Caenorhabditis elegans: one gene and its partners. The protein of the gene in region 4 interacts with the protein of the main gene of each other region in a pairwise test. Each region holds a gene or a part of one and is shown on either strand. Other genes may lie near its edges. The genes, in order: nhr-8, nhr-5, tbx-37 and unc-130.

Region 1 (7,716 bases), on a different chromosome or scaffold from region 4:
GGATCAGTCAAAATTCTTCCAAACACCTTGCTTCAACAGTTACCTGAAGTTTCGACAAAGAGAGTAGAGATTAAACAAGTGGTTCGTCGGGCTTTGTATAATTGAATTATCGCGTTACCAATTTTTTTTAGAAATCCCGGTCTGAGGCTACTGAATTCTTGGCCCCAACATTCCCTCCAATGGTAAGTTAATATTTTTCATGAATTTCAATACTTTTGTTTTACTACATATTTGGAAAACGTTTTATCAGTATCACTTCAAAGCACGAATGACCAGGACTGCGCAGCAACAGTGTGCATGTTCTCCGTTATTTTACATTAAATTTCGAAGTTGTAATATAGAGAAATATTTACTTTATCTGAAAATGCGTTTTGTTTGATTTGGGACTGATTTGGACTGAGAAAGTGCTCAAAAATTATCTGAAAGTTGAAATTATCTGGGGGAACATTACCGAAAAATTGTTCGGCAATTTTCACCAGCAATTTTGAACTCATACGATTTTTGATTATTTTTCCAATTTATTCAAATAAAATGGTAGTTATTTTTCAATAAAGTAAATAATTGTCTATACTTTATCATTAAATTTATTGACAAATATCGGGGAACAAGTCCCACTGTCTTATTTTGTAGAAGTGCTGAAGTGGCTCCATAAATGCATCCAAGAAACTGAAAAATGAAAGTAAAAATTTGAAAAAAAAACCCACACAAAAACTACAAAGTATAGTTTCAATTCCATTATTTTCAGATCAACTTGTTCACTGATCCAACAACCACTACCACTCCAACCACTACCGAAGAACCAGAAGTCACGACAATTGAAGAAGTTGAGCAAGAGACAATTAAACCAAAACGCAAGTCCCTTCCAAGACGAAAGATTCATTATCTTGAAAAAAAGGGAAAAGACATGCATTCTCGTCAATTTGGAGCAAAAACTGTTCAGATGAGTGATCCAATCGATATTCAAGCACAGGAGGAACAGGAACCAGTCAATATTCTTCAAAAAGAGGTAAGTCTTATTTATTCTCTCTCTCTTCTTGGTATACTCTGTTCATTCTAATCAATCACATTTGCTAATCTAACACTTGTCTCAGGGAAGCATTCGTGTGTACAGCATCAATCGTAAAAGAAAGATTCGCAAACCACGTGTCGTCAAAGTTGAAGAAGTAACTTTTTGTTTTATGCACTTTTAGATGCCTTCGGATAAGTTAATTTTGGGGGCCTTTTTAATTTGCACTCAATTGCTGTCAGCACGTTAGCTGCAAATTCAACTAATAACTCATTTGGGAATATCTTTTTAGTTTAAAAATCCTCATTTTTATCATTTCAGAATGAAAAGGTTGAAGAGAAACCAGTTGAGGAGGAAGAAGAAGCAACGACTGAACCACCAAAGAAGAAGAGAAAGATGAGAAAGAGTCACAAAACATCAAAGAAAGAAAAGAAAGAGATCCGCAAGTTCCCAGATCTTTATGACGAGCAATGGAAGACCCAAGTGGCTCCAAGTGTTTCCCCACCATCCGAAGAGTTTGCTGAGCAATTCGATGGAGTTGATGAGGTTCAAGAGAGCCCAAAAAGACAGGAAACAACCCAACAAGAAGTTCAAAATGATACTCCAATGAATGATGCTATCGAACAGAGAAGCAGCAAGGTTCAGATGTTGACAAAAGAGCAGGAAGAAGAACTTTTGAATAAGGAGGTTAGAAAGAGAGTTATGAAGAGAATTCGTCTCTCAAAAATGAAGACTACAACCACAACAACTACTACTGAAGCTCCAACAACTACACCAGAAGAAGAAGAGGAAGAAGTTGTGACAGCTGCCGTGGAACAGGAAGAGGAAGATGATGTTATTGAAGCAGAAGAGTTAGTTGAAGATGAAGAAGAAGATGTAACAACCACCACCACCACTGAAGCTCCAGTTACACGTGCTCAACGTGTCAAGAAAAACAAAAAGAGAGCTGTTGTGACAAAGCATCAATGCTTGAACCTTCGTAGCTTCGCACGTCAATTCTTGTTTGATACCGTTGAAGAGTTCGCAAAAGAGCACTGTTACTTTATTGAGAACTATTATCCAGCACTAACATGTGCTCGTTCTCATGCTTATGTTGCCAAGTGCCAAAAGTGGTTGAAAGAGGAGTAATTAATTAATACCTTTATATTAATTTTTATTTTGATTTCGATCCAGATCTACGTGTATTTGTTTGTAATATTTTCTCCATCTTTCTGCCCTTGACTTTTGTGCAATTTTCTCAAAAACTTTCTCATGTTAATAAGTGTGCAATATGTGCAATAATTCATGGTTAATAAATGGTTATTCAAAAGAACATAATTCTCGTATCAGAGGATCCAATTGAGCAATATCTAGTCCATAAAACACACGAAGTAAGGTCCTATTCACACGATGAAGCTCGACGACTTGATTCAGAAGATTACTGTATGCAATGTCAGCACGTGATTTACCATATTCAAATGTAAGAAGTCTGAAAGTAGGACAATATTAAAAATGTTATAATCAAAAAGTTATACAATACGTGCTTTTCTCGTACAGTACTTACTTCAAGAGCATCTGGAAATATTTTGCTTGTGTTGAGTGCACTCGTTTACTATCACGTAAGTTGGAGACATCTGAATTAATAACTTTAAAACGAATCAATTTTGAAAAACTGGCTCACGAGGATGAAATATAACAGCTGCATTGAAAATGAGCATCAAATGTTCATTATTCCTCACATCTTCTCCAAACGTTGAAAGCAAGTTCATGTGTGCTTTGTAATGTTCTTCAAGTTTTGGATTCTTAAGAACTTCCACCTTTACCTCCATTTTTCCTCGTACTCCAAATGAATGATTCCAGCTGTTATCACTCTTGTCATAGGCCATAAGACCCCGCACAATCAACAACTCCCCAAATCCACTTTTCAAGAGATTTTTCCTATCGTCCACGTGAAGCTCTCGGAATAGACTTAATTGGCATGCCATGTTAACAATCCTTCGTAGAGCTTCTTCTATTATTCTAAAAACTCCATCAATGCTTTTCGGATTGTGCCATTGAATTAGTGGAGCATTTAATGGCTCATTTTGTACATGAAGTTCTTCTAAAAGAGTTATCTCGTCTTCATTCAAAACTCCAATGTATTTGTCAATCTCTGAAAAGTTGCAAAATTCAAACTTATGGATGACATGAAACAGTACTTGAATGAATTTGTTCTAGCAAATTTGGAGGTAGAGTTTCAGTTACTGGAACTGTGGACACTGCTTGAATTGGAGTCCATGTTCTTTCAGGCATTGGAGGAAAATTCAAAAAGTTGGCTGGCGCAGCCATTTGGGCCATAACACCAAATTGAAATGGTGATAACATTGGAGGATATTGCGATGGCATTTGTGGAGACAGTTCTAAATTTTAGACGTATATTCTTTACTTCAGTACGTATTAATAAAAGTGTTTTCTTGTCGGCTCGGAAGGCGGACGTAACTCTTCTGCCTACTTTGAATTCGTAGTGATAGCCTTCTAGATGAGTTATGTCTGGCTTGTTGTCAAACATTTTTGACAGTGAGGTTCTAGCGTTCAGCTTCACGAGCTGCTCCTAAAAACATACCAGTTATTGAGCTCGGTATAGACGCCGGAGAAACTGTGTAGTTGGTTGGAGATTGAGTAACAAGTTGAGAAGTATTGTAACCACTGGAATCATGTGAAGATGGAGCACAACTGATAACCGACATTGGAGAAAGAGTTGAAGTAGATGAAGAATAAAACGAATCCGAATGATGAAGATGATGGGAGAATGATATATCTTGTGGACTGTTCTGAATATAAAATAATTGATTTTCTTGTATTTTAAACTCTACTAACCACAGCTGTTGTATCCTTTGGTTCGTATGCGGTGAGTCTTTGAGTAATTGGATAGAATCCACACTGGCATTTGCATGTACATCTGTCTTTTGATTTTCTGAAAGTTCAATGTACGATTGTCTGTTACTAGAGTGACGTAGTTTTGTGGTCTTGTGTGATCTACTGATTAGATAATTGTACTTTCTCATACGGTACATATCACAGGTTATCGAGAGACCACTTTAATTAAATAGATTCAATTGAATAAATGTGAGAACGTGCTAAGGCTGCCATGGTAGGCACTTCTTCATGCCTACATACGTGCGCGGCTACTGTTTTTGCATTCTGGGGTAAAGGCGTTTTTTTGTTATTTTCCCGTTATATTATAGTAAATTTGTTGAAACAGTAGTTTATTATTTCCGGATAATTTCATTGAAACTTACTCATTAGCTTTATTGATAAGCTTTTCAAGTAATGCTTTGGGGACACTAATTTGTTCTTCATCATCATTTTCCAAATCTTCTTCAGTATCATCTACTTCCACTTTCAAGTTATTCTTCATATCAGGCTTCTTTCTTTTGAATTTTCCAGAAACAATTGAACTCTTCGGTTTCAAATCATTTAACCATTCACTGTTCATTCCAACAGCAAAACATTTATTCAATCGACAAGCTTGGCAAAACTTGCGAGATGCTGATGTGATTTGACAAGAATCAGAGAAAGGACATTTAATTTCCTTAACACAAAATTTTTAACAACTTGAGTATGCTTTTTTTTTTAAAACCTTATGCTTTGAAGCATTTCGCCTGAAAAACGCCTTACAAGATTCGCAAGTGAGTACACCAAAATTGTATCCATTTGCACGGTCGGAGCAAACCTAAAATTAATTACAATTGTTGGTTTAGAAGTATAAATGAAAAAACGTTTTTCTATTATATTTTTACAAAAATACCACCAGATTTGTAGTAATCCACTATGGAACTCATCTTACGTTTTGGAAAAGACGATATGTATCCAAACGGAATTTTCTTTTTGATTTTTAGGTCAAAAATACGGTACCAGGTCTCGGCACGACAATCTTTGTTCAGTACAAAAAGCTGTGTGCATTTGAAGATTACTGTAATTTCAAGCTGTGGAATTTTCATTGATAATTCATAGCTATTAATACTTTTTTAAAAACATTTATGTGTTTTATTTTAGTTTTTCACGTTAAATATGCATGTTCTTCTAAAGTTTGAAATTACAGTACTCCTTAAAGACTTGTCTTGGCGAGACCGGATACCGTATTTTTTAAGCAAAAATCGAAAAATCTCACGCCGTTTCCAAAATAAAATTACAACTTTCTGATGGTTTTTTCAACTTTTAAACCAGCGTCAAGAGGCTCTTCAATAAAGTGATTATATTCTAAATAATATCAAAACTAACTGTGCAAATTCTGCCAGCAGGCTCTTTTGGTGGAACAGCAGACCTTCGAGACTCGTCCATCGATGGAGAAGACGAAGGCATGGAATGACGAAATTTTTGTTTTAGTGATTAAAATGTTGTTAGGTTTTGCAGATAAGTCACACCACAAGTGGAATAAGATACGAATAATAATCAGTGATTATATGAGCGACGCATAGTTAACTGTGATTCACGTATAGTTAAAAAGGACGATTGAAAGGGCGCAATAGTTTGTATGAAAGACTATGGGGTTTGCTTATCAGTGTGCGAAGTGAGCACAAATATTTATTGATTTTTGTCAAACCAATGCGCTGATTGATAATTTTATGAAGTCTTATCGTTGACTCTCGTATATTTTTCAGGGACCAAAATCCAGAATCCAAATGCCAAAATTCAGATTTATTTTGTTTTTTGGAACACAACAGAAACAATTAAAGAAGTAAAATAAAACTACGGTATTTCGGTTCTATAACAAAGATGAAAGTTTTAGATATAGTTGTATGCTACATCTTCTTCGGATTCCACAAATGCCATTTCTAGCTTCACTGGTTGTTTCAGAAGAATGGAAAGAAATTCTTCTGCAAACCCGAACATCCAGTAGATTCTTCGAATATCGAGTCGACGCGAATATTGAAGGAATCCGGCAACGATCAGTACGTTTCCTCGTCGTTTGATTACAATCTGGAAAAATGTGAAGTTTTGCAAACTTGGATAAGAGAAATAGATACTATACTGAATTTTAAAATTTTTTTGATAAGTTATTACCTCATTTCCACTAACGACTAAATTTTGTGGGAAAAATCCTCGAATGAACCGACGAACAACTTCATCTTGTGCAACAACCAGTGGTTGAGATTGACGGAATTCTAAAAACAAATTTTAAAAATTGTTAAATCGTAATTCAGTTTTGGAACAAACCTTCGAGATTCTGTGAATGCCATGTGAGCCACGATTTTCGCACGCCAATATGATGTGGTTTTTGAGCCATTTCGTATGTAAGAAGTTGTGTTCTATTTGATGTAGACGGAAATTGCAAAATATAAATGGGAAAATAATTGAAAGATCAACAAACCTTGGTTTTACCCGCTCTGTTCTTGAGAAGCATCGATGTTGTCGAAATTTGACGACTGCTGAGGGCTTCGACATGTTGTATACTTCGAAGCATGTCTGAAATTTATAAAAATAATATTTTAAGCAGAAAAATATATTTATAAAAGCGATTCAGTATAAAAGCGAGGCAAATGCAATATTTTTAAAGAAAAAAAATTAGCTAAAAAAAGAATATTGCAAGTGCGCTCCCCAGGACTGATACACTGTCACGTCAGAATGCACAGATTTCTCAGAGACAAATTTATTAATTTATTCTATTTAATTCTTAAATTCCCTTTGCAATCCAGTTTTATTCAATTTTAAATAATTTTATGTTGTTCTAGAACATGTTCTTTTTTGATTATTAGTGTTATTTGTAATTTCAGATTTTCAAATGTCCGATAAATCGTCAAAAGCAGAAAAGAAGAACGATGAGTGTTACAAGTGAGTCGAAGTAAAAATCATGAATTCAATAATCATGTATATATTTCTTCAGCACGGCAGCGATAACCAACAACGTCGAAGCTCTCGAGTTTGGAAGAACGTGTCAGTCGTGCGCCGCCGGTATGGCAGCAGGTAATTTTCAAAAAAAATCATTTAAAAAATCCTTCTTTTACAGGAATTCTCGGACTTACCGGTTTTCAAGGCTTCATTCTCTATTTCATTTCTGTTGGAATCCAGGCCGTTATATGGAACGTGAAATCACAAGGAAACTGGTTGAGCTACTTTCCGGAAAGAAACTCATTCACTTGGTCGCACGGAAATGGTCTTCTCACTTTCGTTCTGCTCTGGGTATTCTTCTACGGAATGGTTCATGTATACTGAGATCCATTTTATTCGCGAAAGTCTACATTCCCTTTTATTTATTTCTAAAATAGATGTATCTATTCTTTTCAACATTTTATACAATTTAATAAATCAATCCAGCTTTAATCTACCTATTTATAGTTCGTCACTGTTTTAACAGATAAAATAACTTTAAAATAACCTTATAAATGTGCTTCCTTGTTATTTAAACTTTTCATTTGTTCTTTTCAGGATGTTATCGTTTGTTCGACAGACGGTATCTTCTACTGGGAGTAACATTCTACGACCAGCGTCAGCGGATGTTATTCAGATTAGAGGTTCGTTTTTTTTTAAAATAAATGTAGTTTTAAAAAAAACTTATTTTAAGGGCGTAAAAGAGCGTTGAAGCAGACAATCACTCGCCAACAAAAACTAGAAAGACGAATGAAAAGGGAAGAAAAAGAGGCAGCCAGAAAACAATACTCATTCATGGAAAAAATCAATATTCGGCGAATGAAAAATCTTCTATCACCATCTCAACAATTTCCAGGCAGACTCAACATTGACGATGAAGCTAA
Region 2 (10,568 bases), on a different chromosome or scaffold from region 4:
TTAAGTGTTGAAAAAAAATTATTTAAAAAAATCTACCGTTTCAAAAACTTTACAAAATTATCAAAGATTATTGTGCTTTACTTTGCCTCGTATTATACCAGTCAAATTAAAAAAATTAAAATTTTTGCAAAACAAAAACTGAAAACACACAAAAGTTTAATATAAAATTTTATTCATAAAACCTTGAAAATCACATATTATCGCAAGAATCGCAAAGAAATTTGATAGAAATTCGGGAGAAATTACACGTAAATCATCAGCATTTGACCAAATAGAAAACCATATGAAAAGTGAAGAATTATGCCACCGGATTGTAGGAAATGTGGAGGAGGAGGGGGAAAAGAAAAGCGCCCGACATCTTACGGGTTCTGGCCCGTCAGGTGTCGGACGCTTGATCATTTGAAGACCTAATTTGCATATTGATTATGAAAATTATTTTGTTGTAGACTATTATTATGATGTGAGTATGGAATATTCGGATGATTATACACAAAACCATCATTTCGTGGAAATGGGTAACTGGTACTTTCAACATTTCCATAATTTTGCTGTTCCATGACTTGAGATGGGTAATTATTTTGCTGAAAATTCTGGAAATACTGTGGTTGTTGATACAAATTCGGATAGTTGACATTCGGTGTGTATCCAGCATTTAATGGTGGATAACCAGGTGGTGGAGGGAAATTGTAGAATGTGGAGGATGTTGTGGAGGAGGGTACTGTAGGTCTTTGGGTTACTGTAGAACCACATTGAGGGAGGTGGGATGGTCCTGGAAATGTTGAAAATGTGTTTTTTTTTCATGAGCAATGGTTTTTGGCAACTCCAGAAACACAAATTTTAGAACATGTTTTTTACTGTTTCACAATGTTAATAAATTCAAATTGTCGAACAATTTTTCAATATATCAGACCGTTTCAAATATCATTAAATCACAAACCTTGAATATTACTCCCAATTCGTCGTGTTACTGTTGAACCACTTGGTACAGTACCCAAATCCTCAAAACTGGGTCTCGAAGCGATTGCATTCGAAACGTTTGAAGCGTCAAAGTTGAGACTTATCAAATGATTCTCGGCGTGATTGTTCTGAAAAATGAATAAAATTTAATTTCAAAACAGTGTGGATACCATAGCAGAATTAGGATCATCAGACGACGATTGGGTGGAAGAGGGTGCCTGGAACACGTAGGGAGACAATGGAAAAAATGTGGGAAATGGGAAAAGTAGGTATTGTGGAATTGCTAGAAGCACTGAATAAATCTTAAAGCGAAGGAAAATATGGAGTGAGTAGAACAGTTGATTTAATTTTAGAAATACTTTTTTTTAGAAATTAACGTTCTTGTTTGAAGGATTTAAATAGTGTTAAAAACATTTAAATGTTGAAAATTGAAATTATCTGCCAACACGAGCGAACTAAAAAAATTTTAAAGTGGAAAGAAAATATAGAGTAGATGAAACAGTTGATTTAATTTTTTTTGTTTCAAAATTTTCAGTTTCTCGAGTTGTTAATATAAAATTGATTTTTAAAGCTATTCCATATAACAAATCGTCGAGAAATAAGAATTTGAAAAAAAAAACAAATTTCGTACTGTTTCAAAACGTTTATAAATATCAGTTATATAATTTCAGCTTTAATTTCTATCTTCTTTCAGATGGAACATAATAAATTTTTAATAAAAATGTAGAATAATTTGTTTTTCTTCTAAAAATTAACATTAGGTGAGTTTTAAAAAAATCATTTCTTATTAGCTAAATATAACAATTTGATTGTTTAAAAAAATAAATTTGAAAATTGATAAACTTCTATTCACTTTATGTGATTCGTTTTCAAAACTAAATCATAAATAAAGTAGATTTAAAAAAAAAACAAAACGGAAGAGTTTGGAATTGGAATTCTCAAGAAAAATTGTATGTTTCAACTAGTTTTGAAAAACTAATGACTAATGGAAAAACACAATGATGTGCAGGTCGCTTATGAAGAAAAATATTTCATATTAACTTACTGGTATTTTGAATCACTTGAAAACTGTGAAAAGAATAAGTAACTCATAAAAATTTCAGACTCTTTATGTCTCATGGGGAACTTGCAAACACAAAGGAAACGAAAAAAAAATGCTAAAAACATATAGCTCACCCTCAAATCATCCAACATTTCAGTAATGTAGAAATTGTTTGGAGGCTGCAAAAGTCGAAAATTCTGTCGAGCAGGTTCTTCGCTGTCCTCATCGATAGTTGCTTGTCGTTTCTGAAAATATTACTCGGTTAGAGAACTGCATAAAATATGAAAGAGTCTGGTATTGAATTAAATGATAGCCACGAAACAGTAAACTTTTTTTTTTCAAAAAAAAGTACAATTTCGTCAAGTTAATGTAAATCATGTTCTAATTTAAAATGTGTTGCGAGTCTGGTCTCTTTTGTATTATTGAAAACTATAATTTAAAAAAAAATCGAAAAAAATAATCATTTTTTTTGGCAGAACAATGTATTTCTACAATTTCTTGAAATTTCAAAATTCATATCAAAACTGACCAATAATGCTCTTGGAGGAGGCAACCTATCAGTTTGTGTACTCATTTCCTTCTTCTTTTCAGCTTTCGCCTTTTCCAAACTCATTGCCGCCAGCTCGTCGACTTCTTTGAAAAATGGTTCAACTGTGAAACAGCCGAATAAGTCAGTGAGAAGTGGAATTTCTCCTTGATTTGAAAATGTTTGAGCAAATTGGAGATTTTCACTCATCGCATTTGCTAGTTCCTGCAAAAATTGGGGAACATGAATTTGGAGAAGTTATGAACTATAAAAGTAGTTTAGAATAAATTCGAATGAGGCAAGTAAATATGAATCCAAAAACAAACAGTTCAGATTTATAATAAATGAATATCAAACATTGTTGAAACGGTAGATTTTCAAAATTTTAACTTTTAAATGTGTGACTGTGTAGAAGCAAAGTTAAGATTTTAATACTTTAAAATTTCATTTTCTTTCTAGTTGAACATTTCCAAAAAAATTGTGAGTTAACCCTCTACAAATATTTTTCTCGTCGTCAAATCAGTAAAAGCCTATAACGTTTAAAGCGCCTTGAACAAATCACTCGAAACCCATTGTTGCTTATCATTACACGAAACGGAAAAAAAGTTTTACCATTTTTAAAAAAATCAATTTTTAAAATAAAACAACGTTTCAAATCCCTTAAAAACTCTGTTCAACGTCAAACAAATAAAACAAATATGAACTTACTGTAACAGTAGCCAATGAAAGAAGTATATGTCCGTAACATACATTCGGTGTCGGACTTAATCGAACCTCCTTAACAATTGAAAAAAGACAATCAGCAATTCGATTTCTCAGCTCAACAATCTTTTCAAACAAAGAATCCGATACATCTTTTGCCAGAGGATTCAGACAAATCATTGCATTCACGCAAACAATTTCCTCTTCTCTCATACCATATTCCCGATATACTGCTACAAGCTCATTTAGAGCACGTTCCACGAGTCCGTTGCCGAGGTGACTGAAATTTTGAAATGATTTTAAGAAATACAAAAGTAATGAATTCTTGAAAATGCTGACTAATATAATAGTTTACCGAAACGGAACGAGAATAAACATTTCAAGTTGAAAAATTGTTCACTGTTTCAAACTTATTTGAAAAGTGCATGATCTTTTTGAGGCTTTAATTACAAGAACATCGAACCAAATAAGTGAAAATTGTCTTCAAAATATAGACAAATCAAGTATTATTCTCAAATGGCATTATCAAAATATTTTATTATTTTTTGATTTCCCCGTTAATTTGCTGTCAAACTCACACAACGTGGCGTGGCGTCATAAGTCTTAAATAAGAGCAAAGAACATATGTACATATGAAAATTTAAAGTCGTGAAAGCATTTGTACAAGTAATATTCTCAATTGGCATTATCAATTAAACAAAAAAGAATTTTTTTAGAAATTCATTTCTAAAATGAAGAAATACCTAGAAAACAATTTAGTTGATTTTTAAAAAATTTCACTGTTACACTAACATTATTTTTGTGTTTGAAATTAGGAAAAAATGTTTCTCAAATTGTTGTAAGGTTTTGTGATTGCCTCGCTAATTTTCCGTCAAGCTCCTAAATTGGACACATATGTACTTTATAAACAAATATGAATAAGAAATGTTTACTGTTTCACATTGTTAGTGAATTCTAGCTAGCTATTCTATTTAATATTGAAACTTCTCATAAAGTCCAAGAAAATAATTCAAAAAAACTAAAACTCACTATGTGTCCTCATACATTTTTGATATATTCCGTGGAACATATGCAAAATTACAAAGGCATAGAACATTCTCATCCTGACAAGCTTCTGCTGTTCTCGCACAAAAATTGAAGACCATAAGTGGGGCGAATGAAGATTTGACCAGTGCTATCTGAGGGAATATTATTAATTAAGCGTGATTTTTAAGTTAAAATTGGGAATTTTTTTGAAAACAATTTGAAACCAATTTTTTTGTGCAAATGATGTTACACTAAAAATGAAAAAAAGCTGTGTGGCGTGTACTGCAGAAAACCTAATATTTAGGCCCCGCCTTCTTCTCGTCCACTCACGGAGAAAAGGCAAAAATTTGGACCCCAACCAATATCAGGCCGCCAACATCTCACAGGTTCCACGCGCAGCTATGTTTAACTCGCAGCGGGCGGAGACAGCTCACCACGCCCACAGCGAGTTAAACGCAGCGGCGCGCGGAACCCGTGAGATGTCGGCGGTATGATATTGGTTGGGGTCCCGAATTTCGCCTTTATCCCGTGAGTAGACGAAAAAAAGGCGGGGCCTAAATATTAGGTTGTCTGCAGTACACGCCACGCAGTTTTTTATTTTAAGTGTATTTGCAGTCAACATTAGAAAAATCCTGAAAAATAAAATTTTGGAATTTCGGAATTTTGGAATTTTTTTTTAAAGACTTTTGAAACAGTAACTATTGAAAAAAGGTGTTCTGTGTCAACTTCTCACCTTTTTTTCAGCGAAATCAAAGTTTTTCAAAGAGATTTAGTATCAGGCCAGAAAGTTGAAGAAAAACTAGCAATTATAATTAAATCCACTTTAAAACTAAATTTGAGGATAAAGCCATGTAGCAAGTAATGAATGGAGAGCGCTTTGTAGAAACAAACGTCAGTTAAATAAATAGGGTGAAGCAATATTTTTTTTTTATTTTTTTCAATTTTCTAAAACTTATTTTTTCTAAATTCCATTATTTTCTCACTTTGCAAAGAATATTTATTACCTTATCCTGAGGCGTTAGGTGTCCCAACAGTGGTGACAGCGATTCAACCCAATCAATTGCAGCAATCAACCTCCGATAGGCAATTGCACATAACTCATCATTTCCAGCCATTCTGTATGCTTCATATCTCATTTCTGTTCGTTTTCCTTTTAATTGAATCGGTGTTTCAATGATATCACTGAGCTTATCAATTCCTTTCAGCGGGTACAGTTTTGATGCTTCTTGTTGTGTATCTCCTTTCATTACCTGTAATTAATAGAAATTGTGTCAGCAGCCGACGATAACCGAGGCCCCCGCGCGAAATACCTACTTTTGTCTCAATATTCAACAGTGTCATTAATATTGTTCTCATCTCAACCGTCATCTTTTTCATCCACTCCTCGCGGCTTTTTGTGGTCCTACCACGATCAGTTTGATCGCACGTGGCTACTGTAGTTGTCGGCTTACGTGGCTTTGGAGGTGCGTCTCGGTTTGGGCGGACATCTGAGATATCATATTAAATTTGAAGGATGAGTACCGTTAAAACAAAAGCTGAAACATTTATGGGAAACTTGAAACTGAAAATTTTTGAAATAATTTTTGTCTTAAAAAGGGGAGTTCAATAGTATTTAATACATTCGAAACTGCTATATTGTTCCAAATATGTTTAACTGCTTTACTGCATAATTTTTTTTTGTTTTTGCTATATTATAAACGGAAAAATTAAATATTGAATTGATATCAAAACACAAAACGTATAAAGTCTGGAAAATCAAAAATTGAAAAAAAAAACTACTGTTTCAAGAATAAAATTTACTTTCAGGTATTAACTGAAAACGATTTATTTTTATGTATATTCGAACTTATGTCACGATTTAAAAATCGTATAGAAATAAATAAAAAATTCCAAAAATTTTGGATTGAAAATAAAACTCACAAGCAGGATTCATTCCTTCGCGTAGGCACTTATTGAATCTACAGCTTCTGCATTGGGTTTTCTCTGAAAGAAAAAACACAATAAATTGACTTTGGTAAAGGAAAAACTGTTTCAAGCGCGCAATTGCATAGGTTTTATGATTAAAATTATTTAACGAATTTATAATTTTTACTGTTTCAACACTAAAATATACATTTTGACTCAAACAGAATGTCAATATGACTTTGATAGCTTTCAAAAAGTAAAAAAAAGTAAAAAACTGCGCAATTCCCAATGTCAAACTCACGCAAAACACTAACTGTACACTCTCCATTTGCAGCACATTCCAGTTGATCAGCCTTCAGAAGAGCCCGACGGAAGAAGCCTTTACATCCGACACAGCTCAGTGCTCCGTAGTGAAGAGCAGCTTTTTCGGCTCCGCATACCTGAAATGTAATTGATGTGCCCCATAATTTTTTTACTTTAATTTACGGGAATTTGCAACTTGTAGCAACGAAGATTCAGGATAAGTTTTGTATTTAAATCTTTGTCAACTTAATTTAAAATTTATAAAGCTCTGTTTCACCTTCTCCAGGAATGGCAATTGCTTTAGACAATAATATTAATTTATTGAAAAAAACTTTCCCGTCCTAACTACATATACGAAAACTCACGTGATTTTTCAAAATATGTGCCCCTTTGTGAGTGGTTCAATGATGCAAACAGACTCTAAATTCCGTAATCCGATAAAACAAAAATTGGTCACAGAACATTTTAGTGAGGAACTTTTAAAAGTGTGGAAACTTTTTTTATAGGAAAAAAATTACTGTTTCAAAAAGTTTAGAACAATTTTAGAAATTTTTGTGCAATACTAGTCTAACTTTGCAAAGATTTGAAACTAACTTTGCAAAGATTTGTGGACGAGCTGCTGCCCAAATTGCTGTCCTCGGTTTCTTCGTCAGAATCTGAAAATTTTAAAGTTTAAAAATTTTTGGTCAAACAGGGAATCATACCATTCAAAGTAATCACATTGCTACTCCCAGAATTTCTATTCACATTTGAACTGTTACCGCCAGAAGACATAATTGATGTCAAATTAAATTGAAAGACTTTGCAATGAGATTGATTATCTGAAATTGAAAAAAAAATGATTAGATGAAAAGAAAATTGAAGAGAAGATTCAAAAAATCGAAAATTTAAAAATTCCACTGTTTCAATGAGAGTGTGAATTAATGCCTGTCTTGTTATAAAATTGCTATATCTGGTTTTTTTGGTATCTCAAATGATAAGCTGGAATCAATTAAGAAATTACAAAAAATTCTTTGAAAGTAGATTTTCGAAAAAAAAAAAGGATAATTATGGGAAAAATAGAATAATTAACAACAAATATTACAGAAGAAATAAAATTTGTATTCAAAAAGTGTCATTACTGTTTCAAAAAATCAATAATTTCTCCGATTTTATATTACTGACAATAGGGGGTGTTCACCAAAATTTTAATTATTCTAAATCATTTTCAAAATTAGAAATCAAACCAAAATCAAAAAGTCTTATTTTTGAAACGATGAAAAATGCAATGCTATTCCAGAAAAGTTTTATATACACTTTTAAGAAATTTTTGGTAAGTTTGAATATGACACAATTATTGATTCCAAAAAATTATATTAAAATTTGAGAACATTCAGAAAAAGTAGAAAATTGTGAATTTTAACAATCAATTTTTTTTGAAATTAACTGAACATTTGGGATATTCAAAATACATAACTTTTTATTAAAAATAAAAATTTGAAAACTCTTGAAAACCACCATTTTCTACCGTTTCTAAAATCTCTTCTGCACCAAAAAAAAATTCGGTAAAAAATTATCGAATTTTATTTTTTCGAAACAGAAAAAATAGAAGAAGCTATTCCAAAATTCAAAGCTTTTGCGTATAAATTTCACATTGAAGCAACTTTGTAATAACGAGAAACTTAACTTCAAAATATAAGAACATTCAGAAAAAGTAGACATTTTTGAATTATAAATTATAAACGCTTTAAATTAGTTTTATGTAATTTTTTTTTGAAAATTTGCTGTTTCAGTAATTATTAAAATGGTGATGCTTATTTGTTAAATTGTTTTTACTAGCAAATGCTATGAGATTTTGGAATATCAAATTTTCTAGACCGTTTTCTGAAGTTCATTAAAGTTAATATTTCTAACAACCTCCTGATTTTTACCAAAAACCCTTAATAAATCTGCTAGCAAAAAAAATAAATGTTTTCGTTAATTTTATTACAGTTTCAAAATTATGGGATCTGGAAAAATTGTAAGCAGCAGTATTCGTCTTGTTGATTACCTAAGTTGAATTCTCGAAATATAGAAAAAAAACATTATTGCGCGGAAACACAAAAATTCCTTCCAAAAAAGTGAATTATCAGTAACCCAGAAGAGAGAAATCAATACAAAAAAGAATCAGGCCCCCTCTACCGACAAACAAGTCGCCGTCAAGTACGGTCATGTGTCTCTTTTTCTCTCTCTCTGATCAGAAGACTAGATTTTCTGATTCTCTTCAGTCCAGCACACTATCTCATGGAATAAATATCTTCTATCTTTGAACTGTGCGGTTGGAAGTATTTAGTGGAGAGAGAGAGAGAGAGAGAGAGAGAGAGAGAGAGAGAGAGAGAGAGAGAGAGAAAAGTGATGGGAAGTTGAAACTTGACCAATACGACGATTTTTTCAAATTAAGCGGGCTTCTTGCGTTGAACGATCAAAGTTTGGAGGTGATTGATTATTTGGATCGATTTGGCCTTCGCAATATATCAGAAATCGTTTTTATCACGAGAAAATTTTTAATTTCAGTAAAATGGAAATTGTAAGTAAAACGATACGAATGGGATTAAAGGAACACTGAACATTTTATGGAGGTTGTGAAACAATATTCTTTTTTTTTGTTGCAATTTTTAAAATATTCTACCGTAAGTCCTAAAGTCCTAAAGGGAAAACTTGGATCAATTTTTTGAAATATTATTAAAGACATTTTTGCGGCTTTAACACAAATTGACAAGATTATTACCGTTGAAAAGTAACAGGGTTTATGAGAATGTTGAAGCAATATTTGTTTTTTTTTTTTTGAATTTCCCGGAAATTTTAAAGGTCGTATCACTATTCTTCTAACTGTGTGGTAGAAAAGGATGAAGAAAACTTTAAAAAATGTTGCTAAATCATTGAAATTTGAGAATAAGTACATTACTCTGCACCCGACACCGCGCGGGGCTGCCCTCAGAAATCTGACAATATGTCGGCTGCTACTTTTTTATTACGGCACACTTTAGCAGAGTTTTTTTTGAGTCTGATAGCGCCCGACATCTTGCGGGTTCCCCCAAAAGGATTGTTGGTGAAATGTCGGGTCTTGTAAATTGCTTCTCAATATAAAGAGAAAAGCATTTTCAGAACTTTTCCGTATACAGGTGTTGTTAATGAAAACTGGATTCTGAATTTTTGGACATTACTCTTGTTCTAACGAGAAATAATTACATGGAAATTTTGAAACAGTAATCTTTGAAACATTTCCAATTAAAAAATTTTATTTTCTAGTCATTTGTAGAAAAGTTATTAGTGAAGTAGGCATTTTTAAATAAACTTTCAAAATGGTAGGATCTCGTACGAAAATATGTTTTACCTCTCCTCCAGGGTATCTCACTGTTGTAGAGCAGTACTCAAAAAAAGCAGAAAATCTAAGTATATGAAGTTTACCGTTTCTATCTATTACATCAAAACTGGTAAGAATATTCTAGAAAAAAAGAAAAAAAACTTTAGCATAATTAGAAAAATACTTCCCTGAACAAAATTAAAAAAAAGAAAACTCAAAATTTCGAAAAAGCACAAAGCACCTTTGTGTCCTATTAAATTTTAATTCAAATAACTGTGAAACAGTAAACTTTTTGAATTAGCATGGCACCTACTTTCAACTATAAGTAACAAGTTGTCATTGTCCTTTAAATTTTTTCAAAAAAATTTATTGAGACATTGAAACAGTTTGAAAAAATTATTACTTTGTGATATTTTCTTCAAAAATGATAATAATTTTAATACTAGACAAAATCTGACTTAAAAGTCCAAATCGTGTTTTTTAAAAATACGTTCAATGGAAAATCCGATTTACGATTTTTATTGGCTATGAGTCTAGTTGAGACTAGTTTTCTGGGAACGAATCGGAACAAAAAACTTTAAAAAAATTTCTGTTTCAGACAGAATTTTATCCACTTATTTAAATTAAAGTCAGATGGTATTCCTCGTGACTGAGAAAATAAAAACCTCATTTTTTTTCAGGAAGAGGGAGAGAAAATATCATACTGAGAAAGTTTTGAGTCTGTCTTAAAAAGGAAAATGTGAAACAATTTTTCATTCAAAACTAATTTTATCAGCAAATTTGGA
Region 3 (7,053 bases), on a different chromosome or scaffold from region 4:
ACCGAATTATCGATTTTTTTGACGAGAAAAAATAATTTTTGGTGGTTTCCAAACAAACCATTTTTTTGCCAAATTGCAATTTTCAGCTGACACGAACCAAATCTGTTTAAGAATTTTTTAAAGCCGAAGTTGTAGAAATTGTAGGGCGTCAATGCAGGCGCCAAAATGCCTGCCGGCGACCTGCCTAGCGCGGCGAGTAGAAGCAAGACGAGAGGCAGGCGTGAGGCACTGTGAAAAAACTATTTCATTCGAATAAATTGAATTATCGATTTTTGAGGGAAGTAGGGAAAACTATCGAGATTCTCAGGCGCACTGTGAAATTTATGACGACAAATTACAAAACAAATAGTGAAAATCCGTACTCTACAAAAAATCAATAATCTACAAAGAAATTATATATTTTGCAATATCATTAATCCAATATACTAAACAAAGTCCTTTCAACCTCTTCATTCTTTAATAAAAAAATACAAAAACCTTCATATCAACACACAAGCATACAGATTAACTCCGAACAAGTGACGTCATTGACCATGACTACTCCACGTGGAGTTCAACATCATACTTGTCGAGAAATTCCAGCGCCTGCTTATGCAGATTCTTTGTTCCTTCCACATCGATTTTCATGCCAGATGATCGTTTTCCTTTTCCTCCTCCTCCATTTCCAGTATGATTTGCATTTGGTAGTTGGACAACTGCGGCGTCACGGTCAGCGTCAGTCATTGTTGCAAAGTGTGCCGCCGCTTCCGCAACATGTTTCTGAAATTTTTAATTATCGATCTTTCAGAACGAAATTATCGATTTTTCTCGATTTTCTGCAACGGAAAAAACTAACCTTAAGAGCGGCAGAAATGTTCTTATCCTGAAGTGTATACTTGTTGACAACGACATCCGGTGCAGAAATCTCGGCCTTGATGATATGTGGATCATTATTGTAATCATTGATCTGTTCAGCTATCTTCTGATTGTGTCGTTCACTTGGCACTAGTTGACAATTGACAATTGACAATTGAAGCACCAACATGATGCCAATACATCCAGCCAAATATCCAACCATCATATTCTTCTTTTTGTTGTGTTTCTTCGCACAGAAGGAATGACTGAATTAGTGAAAAATCTGCGTTTTTATACCTATCGATTTGTGGGCGGAGCTTAAGGGTCACGGTCAAAAAGGTTATTGATTTTTTTTGTTGAAATTTCACTTTTTTATTTTTATTTCAAACATTTTTTTAATTATCATTTACTATATATAAAGCGCTTATTCCGTTTGTCCATAGTTTATAGTCTATGTAGTTTTTGTAGTCTGTGAAGTTTTAGCTTCTGGAGGGATAGTGAGTTGGGGTTAGTGTAGGGATATAGTCGGCGTACTGTAGTGGTACAATGGTGGTACGGTAGGAGTACTGTATGATTACGGTAGTCTCAGAAAAATTGGTTTTCAGCTCCAGAAGTCGGGGGCCGCGCCGGAGGTGCGGTCCACGGCTGGTAATATAAATAAATAAATTATTTAAAAATCGGTTTCATAATTTTCTCGAATTCAGAGCAACTTTTGGGAAGTTTTGCTATTTTTTTGCGTTTTTAAAAATAATTTACCCTAAATTTTGGAACTTTCCACCAACTATCGGCAATTTTTAAACGGCTTTTGCTTTACTAATTTTCCGGCAAATCCTGATTTTTTTGTAAATTTCGTAAACTTTCGCCAACTTTCGCCAACTTACAACAACTTTAGGCAACTTGCGGCAGTTTTCGCCAACTTTCGCTAACTATCTACATTCTATGAAAACAATCCTCAATTAAAAGTGCATTCAATAAATTTATTTTCAAGATCATTGTAAAAGCTAAAAATTAAAAAAAAGCGATAAATATAAATATTTAAAAAAAATCACAAATTCGGAAATCCATTATTGAGCATTTGTGGTTGTCCAATTCCACCTGACATCATCATTTGCTGCTGCCAGTACCATTGTCTCTGATAATACACATTCCAATCAAATTGAGCCCCATTTTGAGCTCCAAAATTATTGTAATTTTGAGCATTGGCACTATGAGCAGCAAACTGTGGCTGGTGGCTCTGCGGAGTCGAGAAAAAGTTTTGGTTGAAAAAATATGGGTTTTGCTGGGTATAATCCATTGGCGGGGAGATTGCTGGTGGGGTTAATGAAGAAATTGCCGAGGCGCTGCGCTTTGGCGGGGAGTTTTCCGAATTTTCAGACTCTGAAGAAAGCCGTCTCTTGCCATTTGAACGGAATCCGGAGGCGAATTTATTGTGATGGACCTTGAGTTTTGTGAGTTCTTCGTTCTGGAAAATTACATAAAATTGGTAAACATTTACCTAGACTTGTATTAAAAACTACGGGAAAAATGTATGATTTTTCAAAATTTTAAAGCTCAAATTCGAATTACTCTCGATTTTTTTTTATAACTAAACCGTTTTTTAAAGCCAAATTCGGCCATTTCGAGGTTACTGTAGCTTCGAAAGTGCGCAAACACCACAGATACACCACATCCACACGGACAAATACATTTTGTTTTACAATCGAGCCGCGACGCGACACGCAACGCGCCGTAAATCTACCCCAGATATGGCCGAGCCAAAATGCCTAGTTCGGCACAAACTCTCCCATTTCAGTTTATGAGGGAAACCAGAAATCCGTGAACTTTTTATATCATTTGTAGTTTTCGAAATATTGCTGAAAATCCCAACCTGATAAGCAGTAACAACGATAAATTGCGTAGCCTCCAAGCGAAATTCAACTCCATGAAAATCCATTTGAAATGTTCCTTTATAAGGATCCAGCTGTTTGATATGCAAAACTGGAATGTATTTGTGCAGACTTTGAGCTAAAATCAGCTTCTGATCCTTGTTTTCCGGGTCATTAGTGATTTTGAGGTGAGCAAACGAGACGGGCTCACTCATCCATTCTGTTCCAGTACGCTTGCCACGTGGATGCTCTTTGTACTGGATTGGAAGAATTGGATCACCTTTTCCGGCTTCTTTCCATTCTCCGGCATCGAACTTGTATCTGGAAATGGAAAATTAGAAACGAGATATTTTTTTTGAAAATTAGAAACGAATATTTTTATATTGATTTTGTTGCAGAAAAATGCGCTTATGGGGTTATTCAAGTATTGTCGGAAAATTAAAAAGTGTAGAAAAATTACGTCACAACTGTATTCAAGTATATAAAAACATGTATTTAAATACATTTGTGACGTCACAAATGTATTTCAATACATTTTGCTAAATTACTTGAATAACCCCATTAAAATCCGCTTTTTATCCGATTTTTCCGATTTTTAATATTGAGGGGCATTATTAGCATCAATATTTCAAAAACTACAAAAGTTATCAAAATTTTGTCAACTAAAAAACTGTAGAAAATTCAAATATCTACAAACTGTTAGTTAACTGCTTTTCTATAGGGCAATTCCTAAAAGAGTTGCGGGCGCTGGAACTTCAGAAGCTGAGAAGAAACAATTTTTGGTTCAAGTGACAGAAAATAGCCCGTAATGACCAAATATAACTGTTAAAAAAATTTTCCAACTTTTCTAAATAATTTATGATTTTTTTCTAATTTTGTCAAAAAAAAATGGGAGATTAGACTCCACTCACTTTTTCGAAATATCCTGGCAAACTTAATCCGGAAAAAATCAGTTTGAAAAATCATTTAAAAAATTTAGAAAAAATTTTAACGGCTATATTTGGTCATCACAGTTCAATATTTACGTCAATTAAAGCAAAATAAATTTACTCTATGCTATAGCAGTTTAAAATTCCAACTTTAAACTTGTATATCTCTCTAGGCATGCATCTAATCAAAAAGTTGTCAACTACCAAATTGTAGTAAATTTAATTTCCTACAATTTACTTACTAGTTGACAACTTTTTTCTATCATTTATTCCAACTCACTTAATCCCGTCAACACGTTCCAAATGAATATAAATCGAGTAGAGACTATCCGGATCCAATCCTTTGACGTTATAATCCAAATGCGGAAAAATGACTCTCCCACGCTTTCTCGTCACAATCATTTCAGTTTTCGGGTAGAACTTTTCCCAAATCTCCGGCTTGTTCAAAGAGACCTCAATTCCAGAAGGAGAGGTGCACGAGTACATAGTGATGCTGTAATAGAGGGAAATTATTATGAAAATATTAATACAAAAGATTTCAAAAGGTGAGAACGGAAGTAAAACAATAAAATAATAATAATGGCGCTAATTGTAATAAAAGTGCAAACAACACTCTCACTCATGCTCTGAAACTGAGCCGGTAAGTGGGAGGAGCGGGAAGAGGTAGATCACGCGTAGTGGTGGACACGTGGCAGTCGGGCACAACTTGGTACATACATATGAACGCATGGGGGCCCTTCTCCTAATTGAAGAACAGAGGGTTAGGCTGTATTCTTAACGGGGGAACACTGGAAAAGTGTAGTTGAAATTTATAAATATTAAAGATGGAAAACCCCCGTTAGCACTGGAAATGTTGGATTTGAAATTCGCGAGCAGATAACTTTAAACAGAAGCTCAAATTTTATTTCATACTCGAAGACGTAAAAAGAACTTTCTAGAAAATCAAAAAATGCGCGGAAATTCGAATTTTATAGCATTTTTTTAAACCTTTTTTTGGTTGAAACCAGAGGTGTGCGGCAAATCTTAAAATTTGCCGAGCTGGACAAATTCAGCAAATTCGGCAAATGTGTTTTTTGGAGAAATAAAAATACGGAATTCTTAGCAAACGTTTGGTTTTTCAATAAGGTTAGTGTAGTCTGCCTGCACAAAATTTAAAGTAATTCAATTTTAATGATATTTTATTTTCCAGAATTTTTGGCATAAAGTTATTAGCTGGTTTTTTCACATTTTTACACCCTATAAGTGTCAATTTACTGAACTTCTAGCCAAAAAATTTTTAACAAAAAAATTCAAAATAATTCACACCATAGTAATAATGATGAGCTACACCACGAATTAGCAAAAAAGACGAAAAAATACCAAAAAAAAAATTGAAAACTCACCAAACTGTGAGCCAATATTACTGTCAGAATCCAGAACGCCTCTTTCACCTCCCACTGAGCATCTTTGTGCTCCTGTAGTCTTTAACAATCCAGAATGTGTAGTTCACACTTCGAAAGTATACCTCCACCTACACCTCGACACCTCACACTTTAGTGATAGCGGTGCGAATTGGCTCTGAAGGAGAAGATGTGTCGTGCTCAGCGGGAGGGCGGGAGAATGATTTAGAGAGGAGTATCATGGGATTTGTCAGAGATTTTTCAACAAAAATTATAGTGAAAAAATTTACAATATTTTATTAGTTGGCAACTTTTTAGTAGCTTCTACAGCAGGAGTGTCCAGAAAACTTGCCAAATTTGCCGAATCCGGCAAATTTCGTAAAAGTATATTTTTGATATTCGCCGCACACCACAAAAAATTGGATTTTTTTAATTTGACAAAAACTATTGATTTTGTACTAAAAATTCTAGTAAAATAACATAAAATTTAATTATTTTGAATTCTATGTAGGCCGACCACATGGACGTTATTCAAAAATCAATCGTGTGCTAAGAACTCCGTAATTTTGGTGCTCCAAAAAAATATCAGAAATTTTCTAATTTTTAGGAGTTCGCTCATCACGGCAAATTTGCTAAATTTGCCGAATTTGCCAAATTTGCCGCACACTTCTGCCCTACAGCAATCGCGTGACAGGAGTTATAAGTTTTAAGCCTTTCCTCATTTTTTTCCAATTGAAACTTGCATATGCAATGCAATTTCTGTTAATTAACAATTTTAAATATTTTTCCCAACTGTCGAGATTCGAGAAATCGATTACTGACAAAATAATCATCACAAGTTCTCAACTTTTCAATGGCTTTTGCGGTTTTTATAGGGACGTGGTTCAAAGTGACGTCATCCCTTGACTTCCCATTTTTCCAATATATCGTGTGTCCTCTGTTTTCCAAGCCACGTGGCAATGACTTTAGATGCGTATGTACTAAGAAATGTATCTAGATACCTGCCAAATTTGGAAGAGAAGGGTGTGTGTGTGTCTTACAGTTGAAAGACGCGTGCCGCTTGGAGCTAAGATTCGAAGTTTCTGGAAAAAACTGAGAATTATTATTGCTATGGGCAACTTTGACAACTTTTTATTAGAGGTCCATTTAAGAAAATTAAGGAAAAATCTTTTTCGGAAATTTTTTAGTAAATATGCCAAGCCAATTTTTAAAATTAAAAAAAAATTTCCCAGTAGATTTTTTCCTATCTTTTTTGTATGATTGTTTGTTGTTATACTGCATACAATTTTAAAAATATATAACATCCAGGAAAAAGCTTCAAACAATAAAGATACGATTTTGTCTGAAAAATGTGATGCCGGCTAGAGATATTAGGGTCATCTGAAAAACACACAATAATTTCTAAATAGTTATGACTTTTGACACGGGACTTATTTGGTAACCTAATATAAAGTTGGCAAAAATTAATTTTCAGTTTTTTTTCTGAAACTTTGAAGCGTAGTTCTAAGCGGCACGCTTCTTTCAACCGTAACACACACACACACACCTCTATCTCCCAAATTTGGCAGATATCTATGTCTTGGTACATACGCATGCCAGGACACTTTTGGAATTGCCACGTGGCTTGGAAAAAGAGGACACACGATATAGTGGGGAACTGGACTGTAATAATGAAGGAATGACGTCAATGTTTTTCTGGTTATGATTTTTTACCCGGGACTTATTAAAGGTGTGCGGTGAATTTTTAAATTTACCGAGCTACCGAGGCAAAATTCGGCAAACTCGGTAAATTTGCCGTGGTCATCATACTTGGTAAATCGCAATTTTTTTTGGAGCTCAAAAAGTGCCAAAATTAATGGCAAATTCGGCTCGACAAACTACAAATTCGGCAAATTTCCCAATCTCAAAAAACGACAAAATGGGCAACTTTCCCAAGCTCGGAAAACGGCAAAATCGGCAAACGACCAATTCGGCAAACGACAAGTTCGGCAAATTTCCCAAGCTCGGCAAACCACCAATTCGGCAAATTTGCCAAGGTCCACAAAT
Region 4 (6,806 bases):
CCTGCCATCCTTCATAACGCTATTAACAGACAAATCGGTCTGTAAGGAATATTTTATCGTGGAAAAAGTTATGGTAGACTGAAATTTTAACAAAATCCAGAAAAGATCTATTCGCCTTTAATCACACAGGTAAAAATCTCTGAAATAACTATAGTAGCAGGTCAATCTATCAACTCCCAATCATAATTTTGGCATTGCGAATAAACAATGGCCACCACGTAAACTAACAAACCAGTGCTAAAACGAGTGTACTGTATCAAAACTGATAACAAATTGTGCTACCCGATCACTTTCCTCCCCACTAACTCCTTGTTCTGCTACTGATTACCCCCAAATGTCCTCCACAAACACAGACACAAATTTTATGTGTTCACCCTTGCCAACAGAAGGTGTTACAAGTTTATGTATGTATATATGTCTCGATGGGTCCATTACCTAACAAGATGGTATTCAAATGCTCGGTTGCATAACAATCTGCTCACTTACTCCATGTCCTTGGCGTCTGCGTCTATAACACTTCACACGCTCTCTCACTGCCCAGTATCAGATGAATCTTTAAGTTGCGCCACCTCGACGACTTGTGTATGTCGCACCTTATAATTTGCGGATTAGCCGACGCACATTTTGTATGGAAATACTCTTGGCGGTTAGCCTTTTTTGGCTGGCTATTGTCCGGTACTTATCGTACTCACATCTTTATGCTCAACCTACTTGAAATAATCCTTGTTTTGTATATGAGCGGAGTAGTTGCAGGTGGTGATGGAGAGTTTTGCATTGTATGAGATAATTAGGATATTGGCACTTTTAAACACGGGTTACTGTAGCAGAGGCTCCTATATTTTGGCAACACCTTTTTCCTAACTATCTTATTTTTTCTATTAGCATTACACCCAATTGTTTGACTTTGAAAGCTTGTATCGGCTTTTTTCGTTGGTCCAATACAATTGATAACTCTAACTAGTTAGGTGCATACCATTAAAAAATACGGTATTTGTAATTACATTAATACAACCTAAGATACCGATTAGTATCAATTAAACGGTTCAAAATCTCATCGGGCCTGTCACCATGTGCCGTCAAACGAAACATGAGGTGGCATAAGGTGAAACTGCACCCCCACACACACTTCTCGATAATTTGATTTGACGTGGCAAACTGATGAATGAATTTGATAAGCAATATCCGTTTTGTATAGTTTGAATATACATATATACACTATGTATGGGTATCTAATTAGGATAGAAATGAAGACGACATGCTTGAGATAATTATATGGTTTGGCGGGAGTTCAAAAAGTCACCGAGTTAAACTAGGGTTTTGGTAATTAGGATAACATTTGAATAATCTTAGCATAGTTTTCAAAATGTTCATTTAATTGTTAGTATCATTATTTGCCCAAACAACAAGTAGCTTTATGTTGATTTAAATTATGGTTTTAATGGTTTTTATTCACAGAAAAGTAGGCATAGGTCGTCTTTTTAGAAATTCTATCTAGTCCAAAGGAGCCAGGTTATATGGAAAAATGAGGACTCTTGGAGGCTGAGGAACTCTGTCTGTGGCTAATATTCGCGTCCAGTTATATATCCATCTAATTTAGAAAAGTTAGGAAAAGGTAAGTTACGGTACTTTTCCTATTAGTACTGCACCCCTTCTGCTCTACTTTCAGATCTCTTATCTCGGCTGCTTTTGGTTTTATCACGAAAATTTCAACAGTAGAAATATTTTTCATATATGTTTCTATGATTTTACAGTTGAAAATGTTTTGTTAAAATTGAAGACAACCGAGATATGAGCTGCCAAAGTAGAGCAAATTTGGTGCAAGACTAATTGAAAAATTCGGTATGTTTTCTACTAAAAACCTAGTCTTCTGAACCCTGATTTTTTGTTGGATTCATGACATTTTGCAGACTAGTAACTCTGCAGCAGTCTTGTCACTTCCCTCCCTTATCAATTTCAGTCTTTTAATCGGCTCAGCAGCTTCTGCGGTCTCCTTTCATCTTACTGTTTGCTCAATTGATTAATGTGATTTTAACTTCAAAAATGCTGACGATGGACATATATATTTTCGAATTATTTACGACATAAGCTCTTTCACAGATAATGAAACAAAGAAAAAAAAGAAAAGGGAAGATCAGTTGAAGAAATGAAGTTGTGGTACCACGTGCAGGAGGATTAACAAAAAATTGATTATTGATTGCACGATTGAGATCAGGGGAAATGAAGAATGCTGAAAGGAATTGAAGGGGAACGGAAAAGGAACAAGAGACTAGAAAAGGTTAAGCAAATAGGAAACAATTGTTAAAAATTAAACAAGGAAATTGAGTGTTCTTCTAAGCGCTCAGTTTATCTGAAACTGCCGAAGATCCATTCTCATTTGGTGAGGAGCTCGATGAAGTTCTCTTCTGGCCAGAGCTGACTGGAGCATCCATTGGCATTATTCTCGAAGCCATCATTGACAAGAGCTTCTGGCTATCAATATTTTGTGGAATGAAGAACGCTGGCATGTTTGGAACTGCTCTTGGATTCATTGGATGTCCCAGCATGGGAATGTTAGCCATCGGGTGCATCATTCTTGGAGGAAAGGGCATTCCTTGCGGGAGGAATGGAGGGAATGGCATCGGATGATGGGACATCATTTCGTGATATGTGTCACTGTTTTTCTTGTATCTGAAATTATTAAGTGTTTGAATTGAAAATTTATCTCACTAATTCCCTTGTTAACCCCGAAAGTTTTCTTTTCCCAGGCTTCTCCACTACCCTCGAGGGTGCGATTAATGACAACAAATTGGTGACAAATTATCGAAACAACTGTCTTTTCCCTCTCTTCACATCTCGTATGTGTGCTCACCCCGCCGCCGGCTACTACTCCCCGTCAGGTTGTAATACTTTCTCCTGTGCTCCCCTTACCTCTTCCTTCTGCGCAGAAACGATCCATTGTCGAACATATCCTCACAGTTCGGATCCAGCGCCCAATAGTTTCCTTTTCCCGGATTCCCAGGCCCCCGAGCCACCTTCACAAAACAGTCGTTGAGGCTTAGGTTGTGACGAATCGAGTTCTGCCAGGCGGGGAACTTCTCCTTGTAATACTCGAACTTATTGATTATGAACTCGCAAATTTCCGAAAGTGTCAGTTTCTTCTCCGGTGAATTGAGAATTGACATCGCGATGAGTGCAATGTAGGAGTACGGTGGCTTTGCGTGACTGCTCTTTCGGTGACCAGACATTGATTTTCGACTGCAAAATTATAGAGTTACAGTTGTTTTACACAGTACATATTATTGTACATATCACTGTACATATTATAGGTATATTGCTCTACCTATTTCTCTACTTTGACAGCCAATATCTAGGTTTTTATTGGTCTCATCAAAAATTGTCAACTGACAAAATGCATGTAAATATATCTCTACATTTTTACAGTTAAACTTTTTTGGTAAGATTTAGGACAACCGAGATATAAACCGTCAAGTTAGAGTAAAGAGAATGCAAGTCATACAGGGAAAATACGGTAGTTGAACAATGTCTAATAGACTTAAAAATATCGGAGATCAAAGTTTCACAAAAATTGAGCATACAAACTTTTTGTATAAAAGGACCTAAAAGGTCGAGGTCGAGAAAAATCGAATTTCTTCTAAGATTCCTAAGTTTTTCCCAAGTTCCCAACTTACGATGTAGAATCATCATCGTCGTCATCATCCTTCGCATCATCAGATGAGCTATCTGCAGCACTTGAAGTTGAATGATTTCTTTTGTTTGCCTTCCGAACTGGAACGCCGTCTTCATCTTCCGTGGGCTCGTCTCCAAGAGACCGACTTCTTTTTCGGGACTCCCCAAACTTCAAATCATGTTCAAGAACCGACGCAGAAGTTGATGGCTCGGAGAGCCGTGTGTTGCTCCGCGGCAGATCAACCACTTGCTCATTGATTGTCACTTCCGGCTCTAGCTTCGGAGGTGGCTCCAGTTTTGGCTTGGTACTTGATAGAATTGATTCCATGGAAAAGAGCATTGTTACCGGTGTCTACCTAGTTAGTTTCTGCAAGTAAGTTGATGAAAAAATTATGAAAAAAAGTAAAACATAAAAAAGATAAGAAAAGCTAATATTTTCATAGCGTTATCAAAATTCAAAGCGAAATCGTAAGATAGAGATGGCATCGCGAGACACCAGACAATAATAATTATTAATAAAAATGTTATAATCGGATAGAAGGGGGAGGAGAGTAGGGGAGTACGGTAATCATGGATGAGGGAGCACTTGAGGGAGTACGGTAGGTAAGGGCAGATGATACCAATCCATTGTTGGCGAAACATTGAAACATACTAATGATTCTCAAGAGTACGTGGGGGGATAATAAGGGTATATCATTCTCATATTAATATAATATTTGTAGTACTATGCAGGGGTCCGAACTCGGTACTAGTAAGCTGTCAAAAAAAAGAGCAGGAGGAACACGAAAAGTTGAAAAGCAAAGCAAAGCTATCACTTTCAACAATATCAGTTATCTTAGTTAACACAAACAACATATCAAGTGTCTTCTAGCAGGATCAAATGAAAACGAGAGATGAGCTTCCAAGAGAAGAACAATTGAAAAATGACAGAGTGGTGTGGGAGCATCAGGAGAGAGAAAGAAAGCTCCGAGATTACTGTAGATTTATGACGGGCGGACATGTGTTAGCGCAAACTTTTTTTGTGTGTGTAGGTATGTGTTGAAATGAAGAAGTCGAAAAAAATATATCAAAAGCAAGTTGCGGACGAGGACTGGGAGACAAGTTGTAAATGATGAAAAGCACGGAGGTGGTTTTTTGGAAGAGTACATACAGTACAGGTTTCAAGATTTTTGATTCTTCAGTTTTTAAGTGGAACTTTAGGATTTGAAAGGAGCGGGGCATTGATTAGAAGTTTTGGCACAAAAAGAGAATAGTATCAATATGAGAAGCAATTAAAAAATTTAAAAAAAGAGTTTCACCTCTTCTGCTCAAAATATTTAAATTTCAATTTAGGTACCAGTTAATTTTTTGAAAAAAAAATTCAGAAAATGTGAGCAATTCTCTAAAATGGTGAAAACTCTGTAAAAAATTCAAAACTATGCGAATTTGTAAACCGGAAAACCCACTATTTTCCTATTTGACTTGCATGCACCTTGCTCTTCTTTGACAGCTTATATCTCGATTCTCTCTGGTTCTATCAAAAAATTGTCAACTTACAAACTATGGAAAAATTATTTTTCTACATTATGACAGTTAAAATTTTTTTGATAAAACTTGGGACAACCGAGATATGAGCAAAATGAATGCTAGGGAAAATACGGTATAATTTTTTTTAAATAAAAAACTTGCAAAAATCGAATAAAATTTGTTTCAAGTTTTTGAATGTTTTATGTAGTTTTGAAGCAAAAGTTTTAATTTGAATGGTGAGAAATATTAATAATCATAAATTTGACAGTGATGAACAACAGATAAAAATTTTCATTTTTTGAAACGCGGCGTTTTGCCTCTTTTGGCAGAAGTAATATTATTGGTAACCAATAAAAAGTATTAGATAACAATTTAGATTTAGAGTTTACGGGATTTATAAGGAGCACAACAAGGAGCACAACAACAATAATAACAATAATAATAAAGACAAAGATCAAGTGAAGCACAAGAAATCAGGTGAAATAGGTACAGAATGATACCCAACCTAAATCCAACTATTAGTTCTAATAATAATATTTTTGCCTGATCCACTGATTCTTCCGTTTTGGTGTCATAGTCACAAAAAGCGAATAAACGAAAGAAAACACCGGTAATTGGACCGCCCCGCCCCACGCTCATTGGACACGCGGCTCCGCCCACACGCTCGCCCCTCCGCCGCTCGAAACTGAGAATCATCACTGATGACAGGGTGAATTTAGAGAGAGAGAGAAAGAGAAAATGATACTAATATATAATAATTATATCATTGTGATCAACCACTACTCAGATCTATGTAGATCATACTCAATTTTAAATCGACTAATTCTGGGTGGCATTCTCCCAATTATCAATTTGTAAATAGAGAATAGACAATCAAAAGACAAATATGTTTTCGTTAAAGAACCTGTCGGCAAATTTATGAGGGAATCATGAGGTAATCCAACTTTCTCGGTTATCAGCTAGGTGGTAACTATTACAAAGGCCACACACAAATAGACACACAGGCTCGGTTGAGACGGTCATTTCATCTTTCTGATAAGAAGATTGGCAGTGGGAAGGAACGCATTAATTGTGTGTGTGTTACTTAATAAATGTTTATGGGGTGCCGGTGGTCTTACCACGAAAGTTTTGCGATTTTGTTCCTACTCGGAAGACTGAGGTGTTACGTGAAGGGGAGGATCCTCGCCCCACTGGCTCCCAACCAAAAGTATGCGTGCAAATTTACGTGGGGCGTTTTCCGGGAAAAAAGCGGTCGTCAGTCGTGCCTATAGAAATTCTAACAGTGACAAAAAATAATCAGAGCCAAAATAGAAGAGTAGCTCCTCGAATAGCTCTCGAATAGCATAAAAGGAACTCGAATAGCATAAAAATATGATCGCAAGTAACTAAAGGACGCGTTTTCCGGCGAGACATGAGACCAGTTGGGCTCTTCGATATTCTACCCAAGGTATTTTAATAAATAATTAGAACCATTTTAGACAAAAAGTACAAAATTAGCTTCTAATATTCAAGCCCTGATCAAATCGGCAGGTGCCATATAACATCGGCGTAGACGTAATGAACACTGATACTTTCCTAATGGACAGGCCTACCTCATACCTACCTACACCCAAAGCTTGTTGAACATTGTGCTC

What was found.
Region 1: the proteins of unc-130 (region 4) and nhr-8 interact in a two-hybrid assay, tested with the Caenorhabditis elegans proteins (one large-scale study listed by BioGRID).
Region 2: the proteins of unc-130 (region 4) and nhr-5 interact in a two-hybrid assay, tested with the Caenorhabditis elegans proteins (one large-scale study listed by BioGRID).
Region 3: the proteins of unc-130 (region 4) and tbx-37 interact in a two-hybrid assay, tested with the Caenorhabditis elegans proteins (one large-scale study listed by BioGRID).

Annotation. Positions count from the first base shown.
Region 1 is NC_003282.8:7,708,759-7,716,474, reverse strand, and holds nhr-8 (Nuclear hormone receptor family member nhr-8), read right to left. Parts: upstream 5,332-7,716; 5' UTR 5,327-5,331; coding exon 5,246-5,326; intron 4,698-5,245; coding exon 4,605-4,697; intron 4,557-4,604; coding exon 4,264-4,556; intron 3,939-4,263; coding exon 3,842-3,938; intron 3,796-3,841; coding exon 3,588-3,795; intron 3,385-3,587; coding exon 3,184-3,384; intron 3,138-3,183; coding exon 2,667-3,137; intron 2,620-2,666; coding exon 2,550-2,619; intron 2,475-2,549; coding exon 2,306-2,474; 3' UTR 2,277-2,305; downstream 1-2,276. Other genes in the region: F33D4.6 (aECM cysteine-cradle domain-containing protein), read left to right, coding at 1-81, 132-182, 746-1,006, 1,092-1,163, 1,328-2,134; mrps-24 (Small ribosomal subunit protein uS3m), read right to left, coding at 5,750-5,944, 6,029-6,129, 6,182-6,287, 6,336-6,428; emc-6 (ER membrane protein complex subunit 6), read left to right, coding at 6,747-6,796, 6,849-6,928, 6,972-7,177; mrpl-1 (39S ribosomal protein L1, mitochondrial), read left to right, coding at 7,392-7,476, 7,527-7,716. UniProt on the Caenorhabditis elegans protein: Orphan nuclear receptor.
Region 2 is NC_003282.8:15,397,000-15,407,567, reverse strand, and holds nhr-5 (Nuclear hormone receptor family member nhr-5), read right to left. Parts: upstream 7,292-10,568; 5' UTR 7,236-7,291; coding exon 7,166-7,235; intron 7,118-7,165; coding exon 7,056-7,117; intron 7,046-7,055; exon of another isoform or gene 7,025-7,045; intron 6,797-7,024; exon of another isoform or gene 6,776-6,796; intron 6,599-6,775; coding exon 6,460-6,598; intron 6,412-6,459; exon of another isoform or gene 6,391-6,411; intron 6,281-6,390; exon of another isoform or gene 6,260-6,280; intron 6,237-6,259; coding exon 6,174-6,236; intron 6,099-6,173; exon of another isoform or gene 6,078-6,098; intron 5,997-6,077; exon of another isoform or gene 5,976-5,996; intron 5,771-5,975; exon of another isoform or gene 5,750-5,770; intron 5,741-5,749; coding exon 5,568-5,740; intron 5,504-5,567; coding exon 5,258-5,503; intron 5,126-5,257; exon of another isoform or gene 5,105-5,125; intron 4,406-5,104; coding exon 4,257-4,405; intron 4,227-4,256; exon of another isoform or gene 4,205-4,226; intron 4,074-4,204; exon of another isoform or gene 4,052-4,073; intron 3,695-4,051; exon of another isoform or gene 3,670-3,694; intron 3,545-3,669; exon of another isoform or gene 3,524-3,544; intron 3,508-3,523; and 29 more. UniProt on the Caenorhabditis elegans protein: Orphan nuclear receptor.
Region 3 is NC_003281.10:11,223,005-11,230,057, forward strand, and holds tbx-37 (T-box protein 37), read right to left. Parts: upstream 4,122-7,053; 5' UTR 4,115-4,121; coding exon 3,909-4,114; intron 3,021-3,908; coding exon 2,702-3,020; intron 2,297-2,701; coding exon 1,880-2,296; 3' UTR 1,804-1,879; downstream 1-1,803. Other genes in the region: Y47D3A.13 (DUF4349 domain-containing protein), read right to left, coding at 538-759, 836-1,024. UniProt on the Caenorhabditis elegans protein: Transcription factor. Required for mesodermal induction, acting redundantly with transcription factor tbx-38. Together with tbx-38, acts by inducing cell fates in the AB lineage, thereby playing a role in development of the anterior pharynx.
Region 4 is NC_003280.10:11,279,195-11,286,000, reverse strand, and holds unc-130 (Forkhead box protein unc-130), read right to left. Parts: upstream 4,036-6,806; 5' UTR 4,007-4,035; coding exon 3,669-4,006; intron 3,235-3,668; coding exon 2,908-3,234; intron 2,668-2,907; coding exon 2,331-2,667; 3' UTR 2,042-2,330; downstream 1-2,041. UniProt on the Caenorhabditis elegans protein: Probable transcription factor. Binds to DNA sequence motif 5'-CTGTTTCA-3'.